4 linked regions of the Arabidopsis thaliana genome follow. The protein of the gene in region 2 purifies or fractionates together with the protein of the main gene of each other region. This does not show direct contact. Each region holds a gene or a part of one and is shown on either strand. Other genes may lie near its edges. The genes, in order: AT1G16700, GAMMA CAL1, ATP3 and MEE4.

What was found.
Region 1: the proteins of GAMMA CAL1 (region 2) and AT1G16700 fractionate together in Arabidopsis thaliana (co-fractionation; one large-scale study listed by BioGRID). This does not show direct contact.
Region 3: the proteins of GAMMA CAL1 (region 2) and ATP3 fractionate together in Arabidopsis thaliana (co-fractionation; one large-scale study listed by BioGRID). This does not show direct contact.
Region 4: the proteins of GAMMA CAL1 (region 2) and MEE4 fractionate together in Arabidopsis thaliana (co-fractionation; one large-scale study listed by BioGRID). This does not show direct contact.

The regions. Positions count from the first base shown.
Region 1 is NC_003070.9:5,706,100-5,713,997, reverse strand, and holds AT1G16700 (Alpha-helical ferredoxin), read right to left. Parts: upstream 4,375-7,898; 5' UTR 4,137-4,374; intron 4,034-4,136; 5' UTR 3,987-4,033; coding exon 3,933-3,986; intron 3,518-3,932; coding exon 3,439-3,517; intron 3,339-3,438; coding exon 3,285-3,338; intron 3,175-3,284; coding exon 3,083-3,174; intron 3,003-3,082; coding exon 2,889-3,002; intron 2,791-2,888; coding exon 2,723-2,790; intron 2,612-2,722; coding exon 2,500-2,611; intron 2,400-2,499; coding exon 2,304-2,399; 3' UTR 1,955-2,303; downstream 1-1,954. Other genes in the region: AT1G16705 (p300/CBP acetyltransferase-related protein-like protein), read right to left, coding at 476-550, 665-817, 1,007-1,121, 1,483-1,529; AT1G16690 (Enhancer of polycomb-like transcription factor protein), read right to left, coding at 4,627-4,836, 4,951-5,187, 5,290-5,358, 5,473-5,523, 5,618-5,665, 5,768-5,848, 5,950-5,988, 6,113-6,178 and 4 more. UniProt on the Arabidopsis thaliana protein: Core subunit of the mitochondrial membrane respiratory chain NADH dehydrogenase (Complex I) that is believed to belong to the minimal assembly required for catalysis. Complex I functions in the transfer of electrons from NADH to the respiratory chain.
Region 2 is NC_003076.8:25,421,086-25,428,417, reverse strand, and holds GAMMA CAL1 (gamma carbonic anhydrase like 1), read right to left. Parts: upstream 4,452-7,332; 5' UTR 4,365-4,451; coding exon 3,983-4,364; intron 3,453-3,982; coding exon 3,372-3,452; intron 3,183-3,371; coding exon 2,806-3,182; 3' UTR 2,547-2,805; downstream 1-2,546. Other genes in the region: AT5G63520 (F-box/LRR protein), read left to right, coding at 1-6, 95-217, 422-526, 630-669, 914-1,069, 1,253-1,440, 1,514-1,635, 1,722-2,118; AT5G63500 (transmembrane protein, putative (DUF 3339)), read right to left, coding at 4,749-4,958; AT5G63490 (CBS / octicosapeptide/Phox/Bemp1 (PB1) domains-containing protein), read left to right, coding at 6,448-6,584, 6,745-6,916, 7,024-7,156, 7,255-7,332. UniProt on the Arabidopsis thaliana protein: Involved in complex I assembly in mitochondria and respiration.
Region 3 is NC_003071.7:14,016,698-14,024,683, forward strand, and holds ATP3 (gamma subunit of Mt ATP synthase), read right to left. Parts: upstream 4,489-7,986; 5' UTR 4,351-4,488; coding exon 4,253-4,350; intron 3,852-4,252; coding exon 3,808-3,851; intron 3,697-3,807; coding exon 3,544-3,696; intron 3,345-3,543; coding exon 3,231-3,344; intron 3,149-3,230; coding exon 3,021-3,148; intron 2,910-3,020; coding exon 2,787-2,909; intron 2,688-2,786; coding exon 2,568-2,687; intron 2,479-2,567; coding exon 2,281-2,478; 3' UTR 1,913-2,280; downstream 1-1,912. Other genes in the region: RLP25 (receptor like protein 25), read right to left, coding at 987-1,643; RLP26 (receptor like protein 26), read left to right, coding at 5,173-7,575.
Region 4 is NC_003070.9:1,287,017-1,293,825, forward strand, and holds MEE4 (GRIM-19 protein), read right to left. Parts: upstream 4,097-6,809; 5' UTR 3,971-4,096; coding exon 3,756-3,970; intron 3,208-3,755; coding exon 3,136-3,207; intron 3,050-3,135; coding exon 2,905-3,049; 3' UTR 2,805-2,904; downstream 1-2,804. Other genes in the region: AT1G04625 (Polynucleotidyl transferase, ribonuclease H-like superfamily protein), read right to left, coding at 815-904, 1,216-1,772, 2,678-2,804; EMB1687 (ribonuclease P family protein / Rpp14 family protein), read left to right, coding at 4,334-4,789; LIP2 (lipoyltransferase 2), read left to right, coding at 5,525-6,232.

The sequences.
Region 1 (7,898 bases), on a different chromosome or scaffold from region 2:
GTAAGTAACAAAAGACACATTAAATAACACTTACCTTATGTTACTTATGTCTGAATACGAATCATCAAGGAACCTCTGTCAAAGTTAATTGGGGGAACCAAGGTCGACAATCCAACAGCCAAGGAGAAGTGTCGGAGATACATGCGCTCCTATCCGTCCGATCAAATGTTCCAGTAATTTAAATCTTCACACCCTTGTAGTTTTTGCTCTGTTTACTTTCGCAACTACTTTTTTTTCTGTACCGATTACCAAGAGTAACTAATAATAAACCATTCAAATTCATACATGTTCCAAGTCTAACCGGAAACAAATCATAACCGGTTTTACCATTCCTACTTTAGATCTTACAATTAGCAATACAGTAGCAATGGAGAAGGCAGAAGCGTTAGTATTGTATATGTTATCATCTTTTCCTTGTAACATAAGCAATGAAAACGTTTCCAAACAAGTCGTAAAAAGAACTTTCTGATAATCTTCATGGCTCAAGGCTCACTGACTTCAGATTCTCAGCAATCTCTGTCTCGCACTGATCTCTGTTCTCATTATCCTGCTCCAAACCAAAAAAATTTGGAACATCACAAAGTTCAGAATGTTTATAATATTACATTTCGAATTATACGCCTCTTAATTAAAGCTCGTGAATAATTCGATGTATGTAATGTACCATTGTGGGTTCAGCAGAGACTCCTGGAGTAGGTGTTATGGTTGTTCCAAGCGTAGAAGAATCAGCATGTTGGTGCTTGTACTTATTCAATTGCCTGCCTTTTATTAAGCTTGTCAAGCGAGATTCAAGAGTTGACGGGTTCAAGTATTCCTCCTGTGAGTTTTGAAGTTAAAAGTGTCAGAAACGAAAATATTTATAAGGGAGGACATATAGCAAACAAGCTGGATTCAGTGACAACATGTCAGAAGGCATCAACCAGTCTTGTTTAGTTAGAACTTAGAAATTCTCAGTAAATCAAATCCTAAATGCTTATAACTAATCAAGTAAATATAATTGATGTACCTTTGTCATAGCCATTTTAAAAAGTCCTTCCTCTAAGCGTTTAGCAGCATCTAAATGCTTCCCCTTTGATGCATCATCATTCGGAAGTGGGTTTCGCTTCTCTAACTGGACGAAGCTGGAAAGATTGGATGATCAGTTAATTTGAAACGTTTCCTCAAATGAGGTAACAACCCATCAAGAAACCCTCTAGTGTGGTTCGGAGATATACACGCAGAGAGGAAAACAACTATGAACACCAATGTGACAAGACTGGAATCCAAATAAGTAACATTTCAGTAGTAGAAACACTAATAGATGATATTGTTTCTTAAGAAACAAAGCAGAAATACATGATCACAGAGCCAAAAAGCAGTAATAAGTTAGATCATTCCCACTTTCCCAGACACATTAACTCAATCCGTAGTACAGCAGCAACTAACAGAGAAAAGGAAAAGAGTGCAAGAGGAACGAGTGAATGTGAAAAATTGAAGGCTTACATAGCGTCTCGCATGGACCGGCGAATCTGGAAAACATCATTGTCCATGGGAGCAAGTGTAACGTGAAATCCCTAAAGCAACACCAATTAACCAGCATAATCATAATCAGTAGTAAAACCAAGCATAAGCAAAGAAAGAAGATACATCTAAACCTCAGATGATAAAACCTAGGACTTCAATCCAACTTTAAAATTTGATACACAAAGAAAGAAGCAATCTTCCACCGCAAAGATCAGAGCCTAGTGAGGAAGATTCTTCCTTACGAGATCAAGAAAACGTAACCTATGATTACGATGAAGAAACAATGTCGCACGTCTAAACTCACGCAAGCCAGGAGGATAAGTAAAATGAGAAATCTCTGAAAGAGATCTTGAAACCGAGAAGTAAAAGAAGATGAGAAAGCGAATTTAAGACGAAATTCCAAATAGAGTAAGTTCCTGAGCTGGAGTTTCTGCCAATCAGAGGTTTTTACTAGATATGCAATTATGCATGTTCATGCCAGTCTATTAAACTACCATTTTACCCTTGTATTTCTCTGTATTTTACATCATTAATGTTCTCTTCAGATATTAGCAATTTTTTGTTAGACACTTGACCGACCGACACTGAGAGTAACAACACCATTGAATCATATCATAATCCATTTACCGCACGGTCCAGCTCAAACCGGAAACAAAGCCAAATTTGATTTTGCCATCGGTATGAACTCAAGAAATACAGATAGCAATAACAGTGCAAAGGCTGAAGCATCTTTATTTGTAACAGAAGCAAACGAAAACGTTTCCTTAAGAATTAGGCAAAAGGCATTTTCGGATCAATATTCAGCGGTAGAGGCTCTCCGACCTCAGATTCTCTGCAATCTCTGTCTCCCACCTATCTCCATTCTCAAGAAGCTTCTCTTTGTCATACAGAAGTTCCTGCACACCAAAAAGAATCAGAATGTCATTTATCGAATAATACACATCTAACTTTAAGATCATGGGCAATCTTATGTCTTTCTGAATTGTTTATACAGACCTCATGTGTCTCGGTTGCAAACTCAAAGTTTGGTCCTTCCACGATTGCATCAACAGGGCAAGCTTCTTGGCAGAAACCACAATAGATGCATTTCGTCATGTCGATATCATACCTGTACAGCTCCGAACAATCACTACACTACGAAATATATAGAAGAACCATAGAGACAAGACAGTATTAAATAATATATATATGGTTAATAAACGGGAACTTAGAGGGTGACCTAGTGGTTCTGCGGCTTCCATCTTCCCGCTCCTCTGCCTCTATTGTGATTGCTTGAGCTGGACATACCTGATGAGCAAAAGACCAGTATCCATGAAAAATCACACTTTATGTCAATATTGTGCTGTGGTATGAATTCTCGAGTAGCATAGACTTCAAAAACTCACAGCTTCGCAGAGTTTGCAGGCAATGCAGCGTTCTTCCCCAGTTGGATACCTTCGAAGAGCGTGTTCACCACGGAAACGAGGGCTCAATGGACCCTTCTCAAAAGGATAATTGATCTGCACAAAAGATAAAACTTGAGAATCAGAATATTTTTCTTTCAGCCTAATTACTAGAGTCAAGGGAGACAGCCACTCACTGTAACTTTTGGATCAAAGAAGTACTTGAGGGTCAGTGACAAACCCCTGACCATTTCAGTGAGAAATAGGGTGTTCATGCTCCGTTCAAAGACTGTAAAAGTAAGAAACATCAGGAATCGCTAAGACTCGCAGAAGGAAGTAATCAGGAAGGAATGCTAAGAGAATAGAAAGGTTGAAAAGTGTCTGGATCAAATAGCTTACCAGTACTCCAGTCCTTGGAGATCTCTTTAGCAAGCTGCTCAGCTTCTTCATCATCTACATATTACCAGAGGCAAAGGATTAGTAACCTATATTCCTGAAAAGTCATAGCCTAAATTAACCAAGAGAACCCAAATGGAAGCAACAAAATTTATACCTTTGTTGCTTCCATAAGATATAGCACGGGACTGTAGCCCACAGAGATGAGATCCCTGTAAACCTTGCCCTGAAAAAGCCTATCAACAAAGACAAGGTAGATGTTAAATGCGAGAAGAATTCCATAGCATAGCCACCAAAAGAGCTATTGAAAGTAAAAGTTAACTACCACGACGCTCTCAGTTAAAGTATTTATATTTGCAGAGATTGAGATAACAACATTTAGGCGATACATTCTCTCTTCAAGGAAGAGTATATGATCTAAAGGAAAAATGAAGCTTCACGATTGATGTACCAACGCAATACAAAGAGATGCATAGAGGAACAATACCCAGGAAAAAAAAAGACAAAAACATGTATAGCAGCACCACTTGCACATGCCTAGAGCCGGCCGGGGCAGACAATACCAACTAGTGATTTCAAAAAACTTAGCAGCAATTCCAAATTTCTAGGAATATAAGCGATATAAAATGGAAGAGCCTACGAGATTCTTACGAGATGTCGAGCTCGGAGAGCACTGAACGACCTGCGAGCTAGTAGCGAAGCCATCGATAGAACTCAAAATATCAAATTAGGGTCTCTCTTCTTCGATGTGCCTGATGTGAGAGAAGAAAATCCGATTAGCTGAAAAGCTTAATCAAGCAAAAGAAGCATTGAACAAGAGAATGACCAACGAAAAGCCTAAAATTCCATCCGAACCTTAAACGCGATACTCAAAAAAGCAAAGCTTCTGCACGAACCCAGAGAAAGTTCGATCTCACAAGAACATTGACACGAATCCTTTGCTGGTGATTCACGGTCGTCGGAACAAAATTCGATCAGATGTCTCTTAATTTACAAATTGACCCTTCTGGTTAACTACTTACTCAGCTCATAACCGGGCAATCAAACCGGTTATATTTGGTATGACAGTCAATTCCTTCCAAGTTTCACACATTTCAGGATCCAGGTTCTCAAGACGTGGACCAAACTAGACCATTGCTGAAAAAAGTTAATACCTGATCAATGGTCACTAACCGGACCTAAAGTTCACAAAGTAGCCGAGATTGATCAATAAACCGGGAAAACCAAAGACTACACAAAATTTAGAGGAGATACAAAGTGTTTTGGTGACAATCTTCACCACCACTGGGGAGGAACTAACGGGGATAACTCTTTACAATGAAGAAGAAGAAAACTAGTTGAGATGTTATGGTGCTATGTAGAGAGTGTTGCCACAGTTAATGTGGGCTTGGTTTAGAGGATTCCATCTATCAAATACAATCCGACCGCCTCTACCCATTCTTCCTTGAAACCGAGCTCTTCCACTTCTTGCATCTGATGGAGGGATGATTCCCGCAGCAGCCAGTTTATCGGGGACCAATGCTTTCGTGAACAGCATAACTGGCTCATTAGGATTCTACACAGAAACAACATAAACAGTGAACGTAATTCTCTCTTTTTTATCTTGTCACCAGAATGTAGTAACCTAATAGTCTCAAATGTTTCAAATACAGAGGTTCTGAAGAATTACCAGTTTGTGGAGCCATCCAAGTCTTCTCGCCTCTTGCTTTATGCTCCCGGCTTGAGCTCGAGCGAGGTTTGAGTCGGTGAAACGACGATGAGGGGTAAAGGAAGGCCTTGTACATGTTTGGGTGGTGGTCGGGTCATCGGAGTCCATGAATTCATCTTCGCTTGAGCCAAATCTGTAAGCTGTAGAGAGTGGAAACCCAGCCAGAGCCAAACTATCTTCCAAAAGTTCGGTTTCATTCTGCAAACATATCAAAACCCCACAAAAAAAATCAGAGGAGATCGAAATGCACAACTCTTTCTGGTAACAAAAGAACACTCGATGCAGGTTGTAGAGGACTACCTTATATTTCAGTTGGATTCTCTGAAGGCTAACCTCACTCGCCATGAAATCCCTCTTTTTCTCTTCTCTCTATAAAGATAACATGTTTTTAATCAAGTTAATACCTATGGAGTCTGCAGGTATCTCTTAAGATATCAATAAAATTACATTCAAGTCACAAAATATAGATGTCATTTAGATTACCTTAATAAGAGCTTCTAGAATGGTCTTTGCTTGGTCAAGATTGCGCCTGACCTAATAATAACATATCCCAGAACAGAAGAGAAGAACGTTTGAGAATCCAGGAATTATTTTAAGAAGTTAAACACAGATTCAGGTCTTCCCTTACCTGTCGCAGCTTCTCAAATGACTGCGCATTGTTTTCTCTCTGCTGCATCTGAAGTGAGGTCAACTATTGTTAGTAAGTTATGGTGCATTTTCCATACTCACACATGTAAGATAAGGAAATTGATAAACCACAGACAACAAGACAGCCTACTCTTCTTGCGTGTAGTCTATGAGCTTTCTCCCGTGGCCTAAACACATTGTACGGATTGGTATCATTGACCGGTGGTGGAGGCTGTTCCAAACAAAAAACACAAGAGTAGCTAATTTTCAGTACATTTCAGAATAAATTCATTTCTTCCACATGTAAGATTGAGACCAGTCCAAATGATATACCTGTAAACGCCGCAAGATAGGCTTCTGCCATATTTCACGCTAAAAGAATACAAAAGTCGAAGTTACTTAATGTTTTAAGCCTATGCCCAAAGAACCATTAACAACTTTTCATTAAAAAAAAAAAAATCAATTATCATCAAACTATACGACAACTATATCAAACCTTATTTTTCCAATAACTGTATATAGCGTGGAAAACTCCATATTTGATGGACAAATATTTCAGCGCCTGTAAAAAAAATGGAAATAGCACAATAAGAACAATGTAAATGTCCTGCTCTGCCTCTGAGTAATAACCCCAGGAGAACACATTCCTCTAGAGGAGGCAATATAATCACTATTACTAGATCTATGCTCCTGGCTCCTGCTACAGTTTTAGGCAGTGAGGAAAAGTATAATCACATCCTTTGGAAAACTGTCCCCGTTAAAAGATGGTTCACTATGATGAGAACTAGCCAATCAACCATCATCATTTTATTCCTCCTTTTGAGTTCCATAACCAAATATAAATCAAAATTAGATAAACAAAAGAAAATAAGTGTATACCTCACCAGCAGCATCAGGCTGCAAAAGCACTGGAACTGGCAAACCAAGGGTAGGAGTAATAACTCCAGCTCTTTCCCGCGCCTTATGATCCAAGACCTCTAGTTTAAATATAACGATCTCAAGCCTGTATCAAGTAATTAAGCATGATTACGGGTAGCAGGTTTTTGTTTTGAAACAAGAGAAAAGTTGAGCACTATCTCAACTCAATGTTAGGGGAATATCGGATATAAGTATAGAACCAATTCTTCTTTCAGTTTCCACTTGATCACATAGTTTTTGCACTATTGGCAAAATCCAAAATAAATTGAAGGCACCAGAGGAGAGACAGAAGAAAAATTTAGATTCTAGAGCTAATAGATCCATCTACCACACAACAAAGCTCATAGAAATGTGGATAATATAAACTATCTCAATGGTTAAAAATATGGAAAGCATGTTATAAACAAACAATTAACAAAATCTGAATAAGAGGTAGGAAACTTTACATTTCAGGTGAGAGAATCATTGTCTCCTTATTATACTCATAAAGCCAGTCATCATCGTCATTGTCAAGATCATACTCCACAAATTCTCCAAGCTCAGCCCGAGCTGCAAAACAGATTTTCATTTCCCATGTTGAAAAGATAACAAATGTTGAAGAGCATTTCAGGTATTAAAGGTTTACCTCCTCTAGCGCGTAAATATGAAGCAGGCTGATTAAAAGTCCTAGAGTAGTCTCTTTCATATGTATCAACAACAAGATACTGAGGTGTTGGGATTTCCGAAATCAGTTTCTTACTAGGCACTGGAGGCTGCACCTGATAATGTGAATACAAGAAACTTTTAATCATCACTCTACAACTTCACATCCAAACCGATACACCGAGAAAAAAAAAAAAAACTTCACCTCATTGTCAACAACCTCTACGGCAGATATACGCAGCAACTGAGAGTTTCTAGTAATGGAAGAAGGATTATCTTCGTCTTCAAAGTCTTTAAAAGACTTTAAAATTGGAAGCTTCTTGTGTATGTCCAGTGGACGGGGTCGAAAAGATAGCCTACTCATTTCACTATCTTCCTCCTCTCTACTAAACAATATCTATATAGCTATTTTGAGTACGAAAGACCTCATCAACGCTTTGCTCCTATGAGACAGGAAGAAAGTAAAATCTGCAAATGGAAAGAAACAACAGAAATCGCGCAGATTCAAAATCCCAGAACCCTAAACTGGTAAATGTGTAACAATTTCAGTGTAATATCGGGGGGAAAGCGAATGAGATGTGATATACTTACAAGGCGAGTTTTCTATTCCTCCGGACGAATCGTACCGGCTAATCAAAAATCGGGGTCTGTTCTCTTTTTCGAGCTTACCCAGAAACGTTGAAATTCAAGGAAGAGAGAAGCTTTATAAATGTCCGAAAACG
Region 2 (7,332 bases):
GGAGAGGTTTTATTGTTTTCTTATCGTTAAGTATTGTGGATTTTTGTTTCTCTAAGTTTTTTTAGCTTATGTTCGTGTTATATTACGTTTACAGGTCAGACTGCATTCCACAAGTGATGATGAATTGTTCGATGTTGCAAATTTTGCTATACTGTTGACGATTGGCTACTTACCAGGAATGAAAGTCGACATTATTCCTGTAATTCAGGCTAAAGGGGTAATAATTCACTACATCAATGTTCTGAATTATAAAACTATCTAGTTGGTTGGTTCGATGGTGATTTTCTTTCATAAGCTTGTCCACTGGCTAGATTGTTTTTGTTTCCAGTGAATTTGATTCATTTGCTTACAACATTTAAAGAAATGAGGTCATAATAGAAGACAATTTAAGTGAACAGCTTGTTACTATTTTTTTTTGCAGGAATCTGGAGCAGAAATGGAAGACAAATTTGTGATGGATATTAGAAATTATATGTCCATGGTTTCAGGTCATGCTGCTGCACCAGCATGTCTTATACTCTTTGCGGTGAACTCTACTTCTCTGGCTTCCTTTTCTGTTTTACTTTTGGACTATATTCAGTTTTATGACTATTTTCTTGTCTATTCATGCTTCATTGGTGAATTTGTAGGAGGATACTCATGCCACAGAACCTGTTCTTCACAAACTGGGTATGAGTACTGCCTTATGGTACATCTTTTCAATGTTACTTCGTGACAAGTGAAAAAATCTATTAAGACAAAACAAATATTTCTTGAAACATTTTTATTTTGTTGGTTGGTTGTCTAGGTTGCCTACCTCTTATTTTCACTTATTTTGCTCTGGCTAGAATCTGAAAAACATAACTACCATTTTGGTAATATATAGAAATTACGGTGCCTGAAAACTTGTTAATGAAGCTTGTTTGCATTGCAGATTATGCCATGCCTGCTGAGACTGTTATTGTGGGTGGTCAAATTGGCGAGTTTTTACATAAACGTGGTAATGAACCAAGAAATGTTCAGTTGCAGAAAGATGATATCAGAGTTCTCGCTGGCTTAATATTTGCAAGAGATAGACACAGACCTGCTCGTAAGTTTCCGTGGTTTTAATATTAGTTTCTTAAAAAACTACAGTACATCGAGAGACACACTTTATCTTTACTATGCTAGGTTAAATATTTCAGCATCGTTCTTTCATGTTGTGCTGGTTATGTGTTTCCGATTAAAATCTCTTCTTTTCATTTTACTCAACTTGTTGAACTAAATGAAGCAGAGGCTGAAAGAATTCAGTTTGACACTGCAATATCAAATGGAATGTCATCGGTTGATCTGAGGTACAAGGCGGCTAATGTCAATGTTAGCCTCGGCCCTAGTTGTCCTTCGACGCTTCTGACTGCCAAAAGAAGAGGAGAAGCAGAGGTTCTTGATGGCGATCAAATTCTAGATGACATAGATAATATTGTAAGCATCTGAAGCCAATCTTTTATCTAATCCTGAAATCAGTTTGGTTACTTAACTGACTTGAAATTTGCAGCTAGAAAACTATATCTGGGAGAATGATTCATACCTCGGAGTAATAAAACGTAGAAAATACTCAATTGGTTTGGAGGAGAAGCCAAAAATCATGTCCTCCCTTGTATTTCATCAAGTGAATGGGTAACGATCGGATCAACAAGTATCATAACATGAATCTGTCCCTTTTGACCCATCTAAGTTTTTTTTTTTTTGGTTTGCTTACTCAGATCTGACGATCAGGATCTTTTAGTTGATGGTGCCGGAATCAAAACCGGCGACCAATTCCAAGTATACCTCCCTGATCTCAAAGTGGCTGAAGCAGCACTAAATGATGTTTCTGCTCAACTTAGAAATCTCAAGTCTAAGCCGAATAAACCGGAAGTCGTTGGAGGTTTTGCTTTCGTCGGTAGCTGTCGCGGTGATTCCTTCTTTGGTTGTCCAAACGCAGACAGCTCACCGTTTTTAGAGAACTTCCCGGAGTTACCGTTTGGCGGTATATTCTGCGATGGTGAAATCGGACGCAGCTTAATCTTGGAGGAGGGAGAGGAAAAGAAAGAAGTGAGCATCCAAAGATTTCTTCACGTTTATAGTTCGGTATATCTTATTGTCTCGTATACATCTTAATATTAAGGTGTCTGTTTGTTTTATGCTTATTAAGAGAATGATAAGTTAACTACAACTAGGACTAAGGAGGCAATAACTCTTGCTTTGCTTTCCATCTCTTATTAATCTTATCTCTTTCTTATTTTTCTTGCTTCTTTTCACTTTGATGATTTGGTTATGTGCAGGAACTTTGAATTTATAGAGTGAGAACAAAAGGGTGTTGATTTACGAATTAATTAGACATGAGTTATATGTTTATAACCTACAAGCAACGGAAGAATTTTAAAGATTTTCAAAATGTAACCCATATTGAGTAAATTCCATTACATAATTTTAGTTTGACCTACGTTCTTCATTCTGTCAAATAAAACGTCACAAGTCCTGTATAATTAATTCTTCTACACAATGTTCCTTTTAGTGATCCCAAATAACGAAAAACCATTTAGTTTAGTTATTTGTTTTGTTTAATTGCTCACAACAACAAAACCAGAAGTCGTCGCCATTATCATTCAGACAATATTCAGCCAAAATCAGTTTTAAATGGAATTTTACAAAGAACCCAAAAAACGAAATGACAAACGTTTTAGAACCAAAAAAGAGAGCCGGACTTGTTTTGATGTTCATCAGCTACTTATTGCAATATGCAGAGAGAAAGACCTCATATGATAGATAAACACATGAAAGTGAATCACGAAAAAGATGAAGCTTCTAAACGGCGATCCCAAGGGACTTCTTGAACTTCTCTACCTCTAAGTAGACAGTTGAGTAAGGTAGGAACTCAGAGAAGTAATCTCCGCTTAAGTGGTTGATGGCTACAGCGAGTTTTGGGATCTCTAGGGTTTCTTCGTTGGTTAGGGTTCTAATGAATCTTGCTGGATTGCCTCCCCATAGTTCACCTGATGGGATCCTTCTTCCTGGCGGCACAACTGAACCCGCTTCCAAGATTGACCGGGTCTCAACCAGTGAGCCTTCCATTAGTATTGAGTGTTGACCGATGATGCACTCTGGTTCGATGGTACATGATCTCAGAAGACTGTAGGCACCTACTGTCACATACCTGTCGATTATTGTCGCTGCTGGTAATCCTGAAATTTTAAAATAGATACCCCAGAATCAAATTTGTGATGTAAAAAAAGAACCAAGATATAAATTTAGCCTTGAAAGATAAACAAATAGTTTCATCAATGTGACAAGTTGAATAGATACTGTTCCGGGTCAAATAAAATTCAGCAGACCCTATCAAACCAGAATGGTCACTCTTCAAATGTTTTTACTTGAAAACTTCCCTTGTCTAAACCTTGGAGCAAAAACAAGTTCACATCCATGTGATACAGCTTTATCACCATTGCATCCCACTTCCAGTCACGAGTGACCAGAAAACCAAATCCTTGCATAAGTCATTAAAAAAACCAAAATCCTTTTATCGAGACATTGTTCCCAAATTTCTGCTAAGAAACTTCCTACTACTACACAAGATGATCGTGTGTGGTACTACGCTAATCTATTCAACTCTCAATATTAAGCTCAATCTTCAGTTAGTTTCTTGATTCCTGTAATGCTAATCACCTAAAGAACAACACGTTTCCACACACATAATCGGCGAAGTTAAAACTCATTATGCTCAAAAGAGTAAGAACAATAGCCACAGCCACAGTTCACTGGACGATTCTTCAAGCAAGAAAATCTGTACTCGAGAGAACACTATTATGCAGAACCAATTTACTTAATTGTCCATATAAGTTCTCGACTCTTCAATAAGCTTTTCATAACTGAAAATGGACAATGAAAACCCCTAAATCCCAATCAACATTGTCTTGATTCCATACAAAAAATTGGATAATCAGAACACAATTTTTTTTGAAAATGGAAGGAAGGAAGCAATAACCTGTTGGGGAAGACCAGGCGGCATGAACAACACACCGTTCCTGTACATTCGAGCAGAATCCAACAGTGATTTTGTTGAGATCGCCGCGCAAAACGGCACCGTTCCAAACAGACGAGCCGTCCCAGACTGTGACCTGACCAGCCAGCACAACGTTGGGTGCCACGTAAGCATCAACGGCTACCTTCGGAAGCCACTGTCCCAAAGGAATGATCTGTCGTTGGCCTCTGTAGTCCCATTTCACACGATCCGTCGACGGCGACACCGTGAATTGCGGTTTAGGTAACTCTGTCTTCCTCGCCAACGCCGCTTCCGCAGCGAAGCAACGACGGATCAGGTTAGAAGTGACTCCTCTCCGAGACAATCGAGCTATCGAAGTCGCCATTGCTATGGATTTTGGATTTCTTCAAGGATTTGCAAAGAGGAAAAGAGAGAGAGTGGTCGTCGAAAGATTCACCTGAAATTAAACGAGATACAGCATATTGGGCTTTTTAACGGACCACAGGCCCAATAATAGTAAAACGTCGTCGTTTCACTTATTAGGTGGATGTACATTAGGTGTCAAGTAGCATTTGAAAACCAAATTAAACCAGATCCCAAACAAACTCTACAGATTGATACCAGATTCAAAAACAAAACTGGATGTTGTATCATTTGGTGAAATTTTGATTATATTCACAAATCCGAAAATGTTACAAACAAAACAAATCCAGACCTTACAATCAAATTGAAATAAAACCAAGCAGCACCGGTTTGTCTGGCTAAACAGTTAACCGGAATAGATGTGGACGTTTATGGCGATGGTAAAGATAGTGATGAGACCAAAGAAAATGATGGCGTGAACGAGAATCGAAGCGCCACTCGTCTGCATATTACCGAATTCGACAACTCGACCTCCCGCCGGAATCTGGAAAAGAAGCCCCGGCGATAGAACTACGAAGAGGATCACGGCGATCAACACTGGGCCCCAATCCGCCATAACTTCTTGTCTTAAAGAGAGAAGAAATGAATTTGGAGAGAGAAATAGAGAGTGGTGAAGGAGCTGGAGTATTTTTGGTTTTAGTTAGAGACGAAGCTTCTCGTGTGATGTGAAAGCTAATGCTGTGGTGAACCAATTGATGGTATCCACGTGGACATACTTTAGGTTTAATTATAAAATTATTGTTTAGTGGGAAAAGATTTCGAACAACGTGAATCTTATACATATGGGCTTTGAGTTTTCGGCCCAGTATTATAATTCATAACTTATGTTTGGTCCATATCCATGAAGCTAAAGTAGCTTTGGTTATTGACTATTGTTGTGAGTGTGACCTCAATTCTTTTCTTTTTTTGGTCAAAATTGTTGTGACACCAATTCTTTTTCCTTTTGGTCAAAACTGTTGTGACATTGATTCATTTCACTGTTTTTAACATTGAAATATTCAACAATTAATATAAAGTTTGAATATTAAAATTTCTGTTTTTTTTTTTTTTTTTGGTTCACACAGATTTCACAACCATGGATGGAACAAATCCTTAAATACATTGTAAGAAACTGAAAATGAGACAGAATGGATATTTTATTTTCATTTTGTTTTTAGTCTACACGTTTTTATCCAGATAGAACACAGAACTTTTAATATCCTAATTAAATTAACCTGTTTTAAGAAAAAATCAGTTTGAATTTTCTGTCTTAGACGAAATCCAATTTGTCCAAAAAAAAGGAAAAAAAAAAATCCAAATGCTAAGAAGAAAGAGTAAAAGGCAAATCCAATAATCAACATATAAAAAATAAAATCCAGAAAAAGTATCAACTCGTGTGTAATAATGACCATAAATAGCTAATGACGATAAAACCCTTTGCCAAATGAGAAACAAATCTTTGATCCACTTGTCATAGTTCTCAAATATTGAGGATATAAGTGTCAATAACCAGATATAAGAAATCAATATATTGCCCCCCCAAAAAAAAAAGCAAAGACCAAAAAAAAAAAAGGTAGCGATCGTCCAATTCGACAGAGCATCGAAATCAAAGAATCCGATTGGGTGAAAATCGCAAAATAAAACGTGTTTTTCAGAGAGAAAAATCACAGAATATTTCTTGCTTTCTAATTTTCTTACATTTTCCCGTCACTTTCCCGGGAGAATCTCTGTAATCTTTCTCGTCTCACAAATCGTCGTTTTCTCTCTTGCCGTTATCTGTCTCACGAACATTTTGAGAAAGGAGAGAAGAGAGCATCTACGAAACGGAACTAATCCCAACTTGGTGTAGCTCAGTTTTTTCAATCCCAGAATCCATTTGTTGACCCGACGAATCCGCCTGGTAATAGCTTTGATTTCACGAGTTTTCTGATTCTTATTAGTGTTTGTTTTTTGGCGTTTTGTTTAGTTTCGATTCCAGAAAAACTTTCCTTATTCGAATTTTGGTAATCATTTCGTAAGCGTTGACGATTACAAGGGTTTGATTTTTTCTATATCATACAGTAGATATGGCTAGCCAAGGCGGGCCAAGACGGAGCTTATCCGTTACGACTGCGTCATTGCACGGAAAGAAGAAATCCATGGATATGGCCGAACGAGGTCTCGATACTGGCCGGAGATCTCTTACTGTTTCTCGTTCTCCTTTGTAAGTCTCAGCTGGGTCTCAATCTTATATATAAACCCTAGTTTATGCTCGTATTCAATTCATAGAGAACATCTAGCTCCTCAGGTTTACCTTATTTCTTTTCCATTGAAGCTATTGTGATTTGGTTTTAACTTTTTTCTCTCATCTGTATATGGAGCAGGGGTTTAACAGGAGGCGAGCGGACTGTGAAACGGTTAAGGCTATCGAAAGCACTTACAGTACCAGCAACAACAACTATATATGAAGCTTGTAAAAGGATGGCTTCACGACGAGTTGATGCCTTGTTGTTGACTGACTCTAATGAAATGCTTTGTGGTATTCTTACTGATAAGGTATGCCACTATTCGCTAAGTGTAGTTAAAAAGTTAGAAACAGATTGGAAGAAGGAAATGGAGACTTCATTGATCTGTGTGTATGTGTGTCTTTTTTGGATTTTCAGGACATAGCTACAAGAGTGATTTCACAGGAACTTAATGTCGAGGAAACACCTGTATCTAAGGTTATGACGAAGAACCCAATGTTTGTTCTCTCAGAAACACTTGCTGTTGAAGCTCTCCAAAAGATGGTCCAAGGTTTGTCTCATTGTTTTTAAGCTAGAGAAACTTGATGTTTATCTGATTGCTGTGTCTAGATCCTTAATGAGGCTATATCTTAACCTTACCTACTGCAGGAAAATTCAGACATTTGCCGGTTGTTGAAAATGGCGAAGTTATTGCTTTATTAGATATAGCAAAGTGTTTGTATGATG
Region 3 (7,986 bases), on a different chromosome or scaffold from region 2:
GCATGTCACTATTTTTTGTCCAACGCATGGGACATGTTTTCTTGGAGTCAAAAGGTCCGAAATCAAATCCTAAACGACAAGGACGTCGTGGAAAATGTGTTATCTACTCTGACGAATAAGAGGAAATATTTATTCTAAACAAACCCAATTATGAACAGATCACAAAGAGTTTATGTCTATTAGTAGTACATTCTCCTGGTCTGAACATAATTTCGTTAACGTTGAAATATTTGATTAGAGGAATATATATGTGCCTAGGGTCTAGGGACCAGGTTCAGTGTGTGGAAAACGAGATTGACTAGTTTTTTTTTTTGTCGGAACTTAAGAATCCAAAAAGAAAGAAGAAGAAGAAGAAGAATTGTCTAGTCTAAAAAAACTGAATCTAGCGACGAACACACGTAGTTTTCAATCCATTTGAACTTAGAGTGTGAACGAAATCAAAAATTTACTTGGGATCCAAGAAAACACAGAAAAGGGAACATCTATCTTTTTCTTGTTTTTTTTTTACGCTCCGTATGATCTCACCGCCACACTTCAGTCTCAGTCTCGGTCCCTCTCTCTCATGCATTTTATTCATTAGGAAACAGATCTCATATGTTGCTCTGTTTCTCCCTCTCGTCTCCTTCCTCTGTTTCTTTATTTTTTTGTTTACAAAATAGAGAAGCTTGTTTTTAGGGGAAAAAGTTACTTTTACACGGAAATAGAATCCAATGATGAAAATAACAAGAACGGATTTCCTCCTGTGGGATAACAATAACAAGAGTTTGGATTTTCTACTTTTTATTGTCAGAGACCAAAAAATCCATAACGTGATTCCCGTTCCCGGCCTCTAGTATTTTTCTCTTCCAAGATACAGAGGAAAGCTGAATGAAGCATAGAGAACCTGCTTCACCACAAGACCAAGGAATACTTGACAAACATTCAAATATCATACGCAAAACAAGTAACAATTTGACATACATTCAAAAATCAAACACTAACAAATCTTAATGGTTTCTACGCTTATTAGGACCAATTATCTTGACGAGCCACTCCGGTTTGTATGAAGCAATGATTTGCGCTATTGCCAATCCAAAAAAAACTCCAGGTCCATACCCTGTTGCCACTGCTTTCCAGTTCAACACTTTTGCATCCTCTTGGTTGTCTTCTTTCTTTGACTGTTGTATTGGTGGCACTTTCGTTCCGAAGCAACTTTCTTCGAGAGGAAGACCACAAAGCCCTGCATTCCCTTCAAATGAGGATTTTGGTGGCCCAGTGATTTGTGTTCCTTGTGGTATTTCACCCTTGAGTTGGTTATGGGACACATTTATGTACCCCAAAAACGAGAGGGTCTTGAGTCCTTGAGGAATAGTCCCAGATAGTCCGTTTCTAGACATGTCTAATGATTCAAGCTCAATAAGATTGGCCATAGACATGGGAATATTACCTATGAAAGCGTTGTTTGATAAGTTGAGTGCAATCAGTGCCTTCAAGAGACCAATGGATTCAGGAATCTGTCCTTCAAGTCTGTTTCCGGAAAAATCAATAGCGCTGTATAAAGTAAGAATCCTCTTTTGCTCCATGTGTAGACCTTTGTATCTTAAATCTATAAAATCTTGATAGGTATAAGAAATGCTACCGTAAGCATTCTTAGTGTATATCATATATAAACCCCCTTCTTGATTTTAGCGTGAGTGATGATGCTTTCCAATTCTCATAATAATTTGGTGGCAAGCCTCCGGTAAATTTATTACCAGATATCTCAAATATCCGCAGCTCTGGATACCCTAGTGGACCTCGATCAAGAGGAGATATTGAGCCATAAAATTTGTTTCACATGATTGGATTCACATCAGTTTAAACTTTCTAACATCAGATTGTTTATACATAATTCCAAAATTCTAGAAATCCACTAGCATGACAACATACACTGCATTGGATATATTGTTTAGATTTGTTTGTGGGATTATTCAAAGTTTCAAACTTCAAAACCTGGCGAAGTGACAAAATATTGGCTCAGGTAAAAAAATATCAAATAAACCGGAGTACATGGTGTTTGCACAAAACAACACTACAGACTCTGGAGGAAGCGAGTCTGAATCAGAACAAAATGTTAATGCAATTATTCGAAATCCTGCTGGAAATTACAGGTATGTTTATTAAAAATCGTTGAGCAAACATTGGTAGGTCTCAACAAGAAGCCAGCAAAGGAAACTGATTCAGTAAAATTTTAACACACTCTTCTCCTTCAAGGTGGGGGTAAATATCAAAGCGAAGAAAAGAGAACTAACACGGATGGGCTTATTTAGCAGCTTCAAGAGCAGAAGCTCCAGAGATAATCTCAATAAGCTCTGTTGTAATAGAAGCTTGACGAGTCCTGTTGTATGTGAGGGTGAGACGGTCGAGCATTTCTCCTGCGTTTCTGCTTGAGCTGTCCATGGCAGACATTCTTGCTCCCATCTCACTACATGCATTCTCCAGAACCGCATTGAACATCACCTAGTAGAATTTACGTAAACAACCAAAATGTTATGTTTCTTTCTATGCTGAAATACCATAAATCAAGTTAAACTTTCTTGGTTACTTACACAAGAGAATTGGAACTCGGCCAGATTCTGCAATATTTCTCCCTTTGTTTCCCCACCTTCAATCTCATATGAGTCAAGCTCGCCAAGTTTTCCTCCAATTTCAGACTCCTTCTCAATAATCTTTCAATGCAAAACACACACATATACAATCAAGTTTATACTTAAAGCAGAATGTGAAATATTAAGCACAAATTGAGACGTTCAACAGTTATGACTTACCTCAGGTGACAAAACAGTGGACACAGTTGGCAGAAATGCGACAACTGAATGGAACTTGTTGTAGACAATGCGCAAAGCATCAAATTCAACGTTCTTCAGGATGTCATCAGCTAGAACTGACACCTGAAGCAGCAAGTAAACATAAGAAACACTATAGACAACAATAAATAGCTCGAGAACAAATGGATCGGGGAGAGAAACTATTGCTCCTAACTATTAGCAACTAAGAACTACCTGAGCATAATTGAGTGGGTTCTTATTCAGCTCTGTTACAGAGAGGACAATGTCGTTCTTTGAGTCACGAAACATTATAGCCTTTGCTTTCTCTCCGACAATAACAAACTGAACTTCCTTTTCAGGACCTGCAATGATATAAGAATTAATATCGGATATGCAATTCAGGAAAACTAAACCACGGAACCATCGTAGTGTTTTCAAACATACCAGCATTCAATTTGTACAGAGCCCTGCTCACTTTAACGACAGTGGAGTTGATTCCACCACAGAGACCCTTGTCAGAAGAGAGAGTGACCACCACACTCTTCTTTACATCAATGCCTGGTTTTTCCATCAAGTAACGCTAGAAATCAGAAACACATCCACAATAACAACAAGAGATAGCAAGAGGATGGATATCTCAGACTATAGTAAGAGCAACAGATTTGTTCGTCGTCATCAATATTCAATACCGATGCAAGCCCGGAGTGATACTAGAACAAAGTTATTAAGAAAAACAACTCTATATAGCCAACCATACTGGGATTATCTCCTAGAAGTGCAGTAAATGGCTGCCAAAGTCCACGGGAGTTCTCAGCTCGGCCTTGAACTGCTCTAAGCTTGGAAGCAGCAACCATCTTCATTGCCTTTGTGATCTTTTGGATGTTCTTAACACTCTTCATGCGGTTACGCACTGCACAGAGAATACATGTAAAGCAATTCATAAAGATTAGAACATCACAGATTTCTTAGAACACAATCCTAACTAGGTAAAACCAATCTCCAATTATCAGCTTTGACTTACCCACTTGAGTTGAGATAGATCGAACTCCAAGAAGTCCTTCCTCCCTACAAATCAAATACAAGTTTAGTCCTCATCATCCTAAATATCACAAAGTTTTGCAGGTAAAAGCTGATTAAATCTGACGAGCTTAGACAACATATCACAAAGTCTCTTCTACGAGGAAAATCAAATTGGTCTTGCAATAGGAAATTCAACGAAACGAGCTTAACAGGACATTTCCGAGTCTCAAAACTCCAAATAGACGAACAAAAACACCTCACTCATTAGCAGCTCCCGAGTCAAACAACACAATTTCCATAAATTTTCGTCGATTCGAATTTCAAGGAAATGAAAACATCAACGACTCAATTAAATCAAACGATTTCAAATTCAGAAAAGCATCACAGAGGAACAGCGAAATGTGTGTTTATACGCAAGGATAAGATGAATGAGAAAGAGATCTCACTGGTCAGAAGAGAGAGGAGATCGGATAGCAGCGATTGGGCGAGCGGCGATTGAAGGGAGGAGACGCCTCCCTTCGCGACGGAAAACAGCCATTGCCATTGATTAAAGGATTGATCGGTAAACAACAAAACCTAGCTCCGGCGAAATTTCTCAGATCGGATTATAGAGAGAGATTCGAGAGAGATGACTGCAATGGGCAAAATCAAGGGCTTCTTTATTTCTCAGTCTACACAGTAGTTTTGTCACGACGTCGTTTCCACTTTATTACCAAAATTTCCCCTGAAATTAATCGGGCCGAATAGAGGCTAATACTATTACTTTTTCGGCCCATCTTATAAGGCCCAAAGGTATCTCCTCAGATTATCAATCACGTCGTCATACACGTCTTGTTTCCTTTTACATTTTTGAGTTTTGACCATGACTTCTTCTTTCTCCAATCTATAACCAAATTAATGCGAGTTGTTTCATAACGCAACATACTCATAATAAATGAAAATTAAAAAAATATCAAGAGAAGGTAACATTTCACCAACCTATTAATTATTGAAAGGCCCACTTAATTTATTTTTCTGTATCTGTAAACAATAAGATACTATTAAACAGAATTGTCATCATCGTTACGTCATATTAATGTGCGTTCATTTGATCCAATGAGAGTAAATTGCTGAGTGTTGATTTCCTCTTGTTGCTAAATTTTGAAGCCAATTTTAACAGTCAACTATAACTCCCAGTTATATAGTCAGAGATGTCCACGTGGAATTTACTTCATGAACAAATGTGACTCGTAGACATTTCACGTGACATTTAAACCCCACATATTTAGTAAAGGCGGCTTAAAATAACATATATATAGCAAATCTTTGATATGTCTTTTTTTGGGTTCAATAATTTCCTCAACTTGTTGGTTCAATCACAAACACCATGCGTTTGCATTTTTGCTCGCTACTCTTACTCTACTGTATCGTCTTCGTTTCAAGCTTCTTGACGACCGACGCTCTTGCTTGTCTTCCTGACCAGATCCAAGCTCTAATCCAATTCAAGAATGAGTTTGAATCTGACGGCTGCAACCGCAGTGACTACTTAAACGGAGTCCAGTGTGATAACACGACTGGTGCGGTCACGAAGCTTCAGCTCCCAAGTGGTTGCTTCACTGGAACTCTCAAACCAAACAGTAGTCTCTTTGAGTTGCATCAGCTTCGTTACCTTAATCTCTCTCACAACAACTTCACTTCCTCTTCACTCCCTTCTGAATTCAGCAATCTCACCAGATTAGAGGTTTTGTCTCTTGCCTCTAGTAGCTTTACTGGTCAAGTTCCTTCCTCAATTAGTAACCTTATCTTGCTTACCCATTTAAACCTTTCCCATAATGAGCTCACTGGTAGTTTCCCACCTGTAAGAAACCTAACAAAGCTTTCCTTTTTAGACCTTTCTTACAATCAATTCTCAGGAGCCATACCTTTTGATTTACTACCCACTTTGCCTTTCTTGTCTTATCTTGATCTGAAAAAGAATCATCTCACTGGTTCTATTGATGTCCCAAACTCTTCTTCTTCATCTAAGCTAGTTCGTTTGTCCCTTGGGTTTAACCAATTTGAAGGAAAAATCATAGAGCCTATCTCAAAGCTCATAAACCTCAACCATCTTGAACTTGCTTCCCTAAACATAAGTCACCCAATTGACTTACGCGTCTTCGCTCCTCTCAAATCTTTGTTGGTCTTTGATATTCGTCAAAATAGGTTATTACCAGCCAGTTTAAGTTCAGATTCAGAGTTTCCATTGAGCTTAATAAGCTTGATTTTGATCCAGTGCGACATTATCGAGTTTCCAAACATCTTTAAGACCCTTCAAAACTTGGAGCATATAGACATTTCCAACAATCTAATCAAAGGGAAAGTACCTGAGTGGTTTTGGAAGCTTCCTCGTCTTAGCATAGCAAATCTTGTTAACAATTCTTTGACTGGTTTCGAAGGTTCTTCAGAAGTTTTACTTAACTCATCAGTGCAGTTACTAGATTTTGCCTATAACTCCATGACAGGAGCGTTTCCTACTCCACCACTCGGTTCGATCTACTTGTCTGCGTGGAACAATAGTTTCACAGGGAACATACCTCTCTCAATCTGCAACCGAAGCTCTCTCATCGTCCTTGATCTATCCTACAACAAATTCACCGGTCCAATTCCTCAATGTCTGAGTAACTTAAAAGTAGTAAACCTCAGGAAGAACAGCTTGGAAGGAAGTATACCTGACGAGTTCCATAGCGGTGCTAAGACACAGACGCTTGACGTTGGCTATAATCGACTAACCGGGAAGCTTCCAAAATCACTTTTGAATTGCTCCTCTCTGAGGTTTCTGAGTGTTGACAACAACAGAATTGAAGACACGTTTCCTTTCTGGCTGAAGGCGCTACCCAATTTGCATGTCTTGACTCTCCGTTCAAACAGATTCTTCGGCCATCTCTCTCCTCCTGATCGAGGTCCTCTCGCGTTTCCCGAGCTGCGGATACTTGAATTGTCAGATAACAGCTTTACTGGAAGCTTGCCACCAAATTTCTTTGTTAACTGGAAAGCATCATCACCCAAGATAAATGAAGATGGGCGTATTTATATGGGAGACTACAAGAATGCTTATTATATCTATGAAGATACAATGGATTTGCAATACAAAGGTCTATTCATGGAGCAGGGGAAAGTCCTTACTTTCTACAGCACCATTGATTTCTCTGGAAACAAACTTGAAGGACAGATTCCTGAGTCTATTGGTCTGTTGAAGGAATTGATAGCGCTCAACTTATCGAACAACGCCTTCACTGGCCATATTCCTATGTCTTTGGCAAATGTTACGGAGCTCGAGTCACTAGACCTGTCAAGAAATCAACTATCAGGGAATATTCCAAGAGAACTCGGGAGCCTCTCATTTCTGGCGTACATAAGTGTAGCTCATAACCAACTCAAAGGTGAAATACCACAGGGACCACAGTTTAGTGGGCAAGCTGAATCATCATTTGAAGGGAATGTAGGTCTCTGTGGTCTTCCTCTCCAAGGAAGTTGCGTTGCGCCACCAACAAAATATCCCAAGGAAGAAGACGAAGAAGAAGAAGAGGACGAAGTGATTGAGTGGAAAGCAGTGTTTTTCGGGTATTGGCCTGGACTGTTACTTGGATTGGTAATGGCACACGTTATTGCTTCATTCAAGCCGAAGTGGTTTGTCAAGATACTTGGTCCAGCTAAGGGCAAGCAAGTAGATCCAGTTAGATTGTTTATGAATCTGGATTCAAGATGGGACAGTTTTAATAATAAGGATACTGTAGAAGAAGAAGTGATATGAAAATAATAGTATGTGGATATGTTGTTGTTACCTGATGTAAGAAAGAAGTTGACTAGTTTCTGTAACTCTTGGTTCCCTTAATTACGATCTCTCTATTGGATGATAATGTCATGGTAGATTGTTGAGATAGAGGCGCTTATGACATACTGCTTCGGTTCTTCTCTGATTCTTCAAGTAACCCGAGCCGATGATTTGTAATGCACGAAAGCCCGCTGTTTCAACTTCCTGTTAAGACAAACTAGATGAAGTGAACATAAGAGTATAAGATCAATCTCAGACCATACATTGACGAGATCTCTTTTTTCTAAAAGTAAATGTTACCACTTACAACTGATGAAACAAATCAGTTTGATGTGAATTAAAAAAAAAAAAATATCATGAGAGGGCTTACTAAATATAACAATCTTCTTA
Region 4 (6,809 bases), on a different chromosome or scaffold from region 2:
ATAAGCTCTGATATGATTATAAGTGACTCTATTGCTATATATCTGAAATTCATCTTCTTGTTTCTGTCTCCTTAACTGAATCCATAATGTGTTTATATAGTTATTCATCATATGTTCACAGAATTCTGTGTTTCTTTCATGTGCTAATTGGTACAATGTTAGTTTAATTTTAAGAGTTAAAAATATTTGTACACAAATTAAAGTTTTCACATAATAGTTTTCAGTCTCATATATTGCAACAAGTCTCTATGCAAGCTAACACAAAGGCAGTCTTCCTATGCAAGCTCTTTAGCACATCATTCAGATTATCTGATCGAACTACATACATGGCCACTAACACATAGTCACATACTAACCATCTCCTAACTTGTATTGGTTAAAACGCTCAATTTATAACACCACAACATCGACAAGAAATCGAGAGTAACAACTAAAACATGCTTCCACGACTCTCTATGATTCTACAAATAAACAACAGAGACTACAATAGCATTACTCTAGTTACAAGCAGAACCTAGACAACATAACAAAAGCCAATTCTTGATTCAGAACAAGGAATGATGACTAACTCAAAATGATTGTCAAAGAAACCCATTTCAATACTCTAAAATTGGAAAGCATCAATATAGCAAATGATCATAAGTGGCTGATACAAGGTCCAAAGCATGGATTACGAGAAGAAAACAAAAAATCCACCTTCTTCTTCTTCTTTTGTCTTTTTAGCCTCTGTTTGTTTCTGTTCCTCTCTTACAAAAAGAACTCACCGATCACGAGAACGTCAAAGCTCGATGATCACCATCCATTTTCACCACCGTCAGAACCGTCGGAACTGTAACTCGGTGATCACACCATCAATGATCTCGCCACCGTTTGTCTCTCTGTTTTCTTGCGTTTCACGATCTCTCTAGCAAATCATGGCGGATCTCACCGAGAGTCCCAAGTATTGACGCAAACCACGCGCCGTTGTCACGAGACTCAGGTATGTTGCTTCTCGCTTAAATTCCTATTTGATCTCTTGGAACCTTGGATTTTTAATATTTAGTTTCTGCACAAAAAAGGTCTCTTTGAATTAGGTCAATCAATATTTAGTTTTCTAACCGCAATTTCATCGGAGGAACTAGGGTTTGATCTTGTAGTTTTTTTTTTTTTCCTCAAACATCAGCTTTATTAATAATTTGCTGTAGCAAAGTCGCGATGTAAAAAATCAGTTATTACAAACGGGATATAGTTATAGCAATAAAACTGAGTGTTCAAAGGAAGTTGTTGTTTTGCCAGAGCATCTGCAGCCATGTTTGAAAATCGCCTTGTCCAAGTAAACTTGCATTCTTCAAATTTTGATCTCCAAGCGCTTATATCTCTTATCCAATTAAAAACTGCAAAATTTGAAGACCGACCATTGACAATCTCTGAGACTTCTTTATTGTCACCTTCAAAGTAAATTTTCCTATAGCCCCTACTCCAACAATGTTGCATGGCCATGACTAAAGCTTGGAGTTCACTTTCCATCGGATTGGTAGTAATAGAGCCTATAGCATGAGCTGCACCTAGAAAGGTTCCTCGATCATCCCGTAAGAGCCAACCCGCTTTACTCGGAGCGTTGCTGTGGTAAGTGCCGTCATAGTTGCATTTCGTCCAACCAATAGGGGGTGTTGTCCAGAGATTAGCTGTTGGTTCTTGTGACGTTACTCTGTCAGGTTTTGATGATAAACGGTGGGTGTACTCTTCTGCATCTTGCCATTCTTTGGCGTCTTGTCTTGCATATCGGAGAGAAGCTTCCCATGGAATGATCTTGTAGTTTAGTTTTACAAAATTGACCTAAAATTGGTGGATAATGTTACGACAGAGCTACACTAGGACTTTGGAATGGGCTTTGCTGTATGAGGCCTTCGTTACACTAGGACTTTCTTCATTCTAACTTTTTTTCTTCTTTTCTTTAAAAATTATTTTAACCAAAACTAAAACTTTCACTAAAACATTTAAATAAATAATTTTTTAAAGGTTTTTTATAAATACTAAATTAATATGACGTTGTGAAATCTAACCGGATTTTTGATCCCGCCATTTAACCGTGGTCATTAGCGATTCCATAAATCCAACATATTTTTCACATCTTCATGTATATTTAGCATTTATTTTTTGTTTTCTTTTCTTAAAAGTTTTTCAAATTTTTTTTGATTTTTTTAAAAGTTTTAATAAATACTAAATTAATATAACGTTGTGAAATCTAACCAGATTTTGGATCCCGCCATTTAACCGTGGTCATTAGCGATTCCACAAATCCAACATGTTTTTCACATCTTCATGTATATTTAGCATTTAATTATTTTTATTTTATTTTTTTAAAAATGTTTTCAACTCTCTTTTTTTTTCCTTTTTCTTTTTTTTAAAAGATTTTATAAATACTAAATTAATATGACGTTGTGAAATCTAACCGGATTTTGGATCCCGCCATTTAACCATGGTCATTAACGATTTCACAAATCTAACATATTTTTCTCATTTTCATGTACTATATTTAGCATTTAATTTTATTTATTTTCTGAAAAGGTTTTACTCTTTTTTTCATTTTCAAGAACTCTTGTTTTCAAAATTTTATTGTTTTGGATATTAAATTCACATATAATTATATATGATTTGGTTCGATTTCACTCGGTAAGCTTTTTCGAATATTTTTCACCTGGAGCTGTCAAATAAGCCAATTTCTTGCAGCTTGCTGATGAATCATGAAACTGTTTTTGCCTCATATTACGATTGAAACACTTAAGAGAAAACCAATACAAGAAGAATACTGTCTGTTGAATCATTCTCTTATTACCCGAAGAAAAAAAGATATAACAAGAACATATCAATCCTCAGCGAAACATCATTCATCATCATCATATGCATTTGAGAGAAACTAGGAAATCACCACACATCAGGACGGAGTTCCCCAGTAGCCGGAGGCATCCAGCGACCAGAATTGTACACATTCTCGCCAACTTTCCATCCCGGAACATCTTTCATTACATCAGCCTCATATTCCAGATACTTTTTCCACTCAGACACAAACCTAGAATGCAAAACGGGGATTGAAACAAGATTGCTATCTGAAGGTTGCTGCAGGCACATTGACTTAAATTTGAGAATATGGTTTACCTTTCATCTTCTTCTGCTTGAAGAATGGGAAGTATTGTTCTACGAGCAGCATATTTCTCTTCCTTCAATGCCCTAAACATCACATCAATCTTGATAAGAGCATTAATCTTGATACTTACTGATATCAAATCAGACTTGTTTAGGACCATTGTAAATGCATAAGAAGTTAATGATCAAGCCAGATATAATACTAAAACAATCTATCTACATAGAAACAGTATCCCGATAACTACTATCAAAACATGCAACTAGATAATTGCTTTCATCATAACAGATTCTCACATCTTTGCAATTGTGGCTTTAAGAGTTTACAAATTGTTGACGAACTTTATATTCGTTTAAGGCTAAACTCATGCTGATTAAGCTTCAACCAAAATGTCGGGGAATACTAATAACAGAATACATAACAGTGATTCAACAAGCCTATGTTTCCATAGGTTAATAATATTAACCAATTCCTACGATAAACATACTCAAGTTTCAACAATTATTAACCAAAATGTATCCTTCACTACATTACTATGGTCATCAATCACTCCACAACACTAATTTTACCAAGGCGATCTCGAATTTTAGAGGAAAAATTGAAATGTGAACGAGCTATTACAAGTCGTTCTTACCTGCGGATTTTGTTTCCCTGGCCGACCTGGTACATTCCCCAAGCAAAGGCACCAGAAACGGCAAGGAACATGGCCATTGCACTAGGACCCGTATTGGATATCCGGCGGGCATATCGGACCGGTGCGAACCCACCCGGTGGCGGACCATCCTGAAGCAGCGGCATATCCTTCACACTCGCCATTCCTGGCTTATTTCTTATCATCGCCTCCGTCATCTTCAACGCTCAATTTCTTCTCGACCAAATTGACTTTTGATCACTGAATCCGATTTGATTTTGCTGAAATCGAGTGTTCTAGGGATTCCGATGAACAACGAAGGGAACGTTGGAGATTAACTAGGCTAGGACCATATAACTAAGCCCATTAGTTAGCAAATCACGGAGTCGTATGAGATGAAATGGGCTATAACTAAGCCCATTTCAGATATGTTCAAAGACCCAAGTCCATAAGTAAGCAAGTCACGTGGAGTCACGTGATTATCTTCTTCTTCTTCTTACATATAAAATGCCCTAACTACATGTTCAGAATATCTTTAGCCGCCGACTTGGTATCATCAAATCGAGGAGATTCGAAGAAGCATGGTGGGATTTAAGAACAGATACATGTTAATGGAAGTTTTTCTGGATCCGGACAAGGATCTTCTCGGAGAAGGAACACCGATCATTCTTACACAATTCAATCTCTCGAAAGCAATCAAAGACAGTATCCTCGTCAATTTCGGCGAGTGTGGTCTAGGTTCGTCTCTCGGTTCCTTCCAAGTGAAATATGTGAATCCAATCACGAAGCTATGCATTGTAAGATCATCAAGAGAAGAACACAGACAAGTTTGGTTAGCAATCACATTGGTCAAAAGCATCGGAAACTGTCCGGTGATCTTAAACTTGCTCGATATTAGCGGTTGCATCAGAGCGTGTAGAGACACAGCCTTGAAGTGCGACAAGGAGAAGTTTGAGCAGTGTAGCAAAAGCTTGTCTGAAGAGGAGATTAGGCAGATGAATACTTCTCTTGAGAAGATCAAACTATTGGAAAACTGAAACTTTTCTAGACCTTTTTTCCTTCGAATTTGACCCCTAAGTTTTGAAATTGTACAATCTTTGTATTTTTCTTAATTCTGAAATACAAAGGGATAAGAAACAGCATCATTCCCTGAAAAGATTGTTTGCGATTTGAATCACTGGGTTTTTATATGTTGGAATTAAAATAAGAGGGTGTGAATTGTTGAGATATGTTCTAGATAAGGCGTAATTCTGTGAAAATTGAAAACTTAAGGGTACAAGTGCAAAGTCGTTGAATTTTGAAGCTTTTAATAAATCCAAAATTTCTAATCTGGAGAGAACCTATCTCTGAGGTCCAAACTCTTCGGTGGAGGAGAAGAACTGAAACGGTAATCTAGCTCTTCAAAGCCTCTTACTTTACCGATTACTTGCTCTTGTACCATGTATACGATCATTTATATGGGTTTTTATCGGTTACGGTAATCCTCCGTGTCTTTTTCTTTGTGTATGCATGTTAAGTGTTCGATAAAATACCTCAAAGACCTGGTACCAAAAACTATTCATAGGGTTTGTATCCTAGCTCCTCAGATTTTTATTCCTAATTTTAGGTTTGCTGCCTTTGGAAATTTTTTGTTGTGTTAGTCATGCTTTTAGACCCCCATCAGTAGTATTAAGTTTGTGTGGAAAAAAAGGTCGTGTTTGGAATCTTCCTATATAACCTAAGTAGTTAGAGATAAAGTGATCAATTATGGAGTCTGTGTTAATGTGCAGGAAATGAGATCCCCTAGAACCTTGGAGGTTTGGAAGCTAGGCACTGTCAACTATTTGAAATCCCTTAAACTGCAGGAGAAATTAGTTTCAGAGAGAAAAGCTCATCAGATTCCAGATACCCTCCTCTCGCTTCAGCATCCACCAACTTATACGCTCGGAAAGCGTAGAACCGATCACAATCTACTTATCCCTGAATCTGAACTTACAAAAATCGGAGCTGAACTTCATTATACTCAAAGAGGAGGAGACATCACCTTCCATGGCCCTCATCAAGCCATCTTATATCCCATCATTTCCTTACGCAGCATTGGTTTTGGTGCTAGGAACTACGTGGAGACATTGGAGCGGTCAATGATCGAGTTTGCTTCGATTTATGGCGTGAAAGCTCGAGCAGGAAACAAATGTGAGACTGGGGTTTGGGTTGGGGATAGGAAGATCGGTGCTATTGGGGTTAGGATATCTTCTGGAATCACTAGTCATGGTTTGGCCTTAAATATAGATCCTGATATGAAGTACTTTGAGCACATTGTGCCTTGTGGGATTGCTGATAAAGAAGTTACATCTTTGCGAAGAGAGACGGATACTCTGCTTCCTTCAGAAGAAGTGATTCATGAACAGTTGGTTTCTTGTTTAGCCAAAGCGTTTTCTTATGATGATGTTGTCTGGAAGGAAGATCCTTCACTCATTTTGGACACCCAAGATAAAGAATAATCCGGTTTGATCCGGTTTTGATTTATTGTCTACAAAAAATGTTATTATTTTTTGACGTGATGTGGATTTCTGATATTGTCTTATTCATTCTCAAATTTTCATTAAAATCAGTCATATGAAAGTATTTCTAAGGAAAACATTTATGCTCTTTACCAAGCCTGCAAGCACCATCAGCTTTGACAGTCCAATTACATAGATAACATACATCTTGATCTCTGAAAGCATCAAATATCTCAAACTGTTTGAATTGCTTTTCCTATTTAACAAAATGAGTTGGGTCAACCCATGAAGCCTAAACTCATTGGTAATGAGTTGTGTTGAATTGGGTTAACCATTTTGACATCCTTAGTGAGAAGAGTATGCAACAACAAACCTTAAGAGAGAAAACCAGTGAAGATAACGAATAATTCTCGGTTTACTCCGGTTTTGTGTCTACCAAAATATGTTTGTTTCTTACTCTAAGCATTCCGATGTCAATGAGTATCTTTAAGAAACAAATCTTTAAATAGTAAGAAATGCATAAATATTCTGTTTATTGATTTTATTGAATTTGAATATATATATATATATATATATA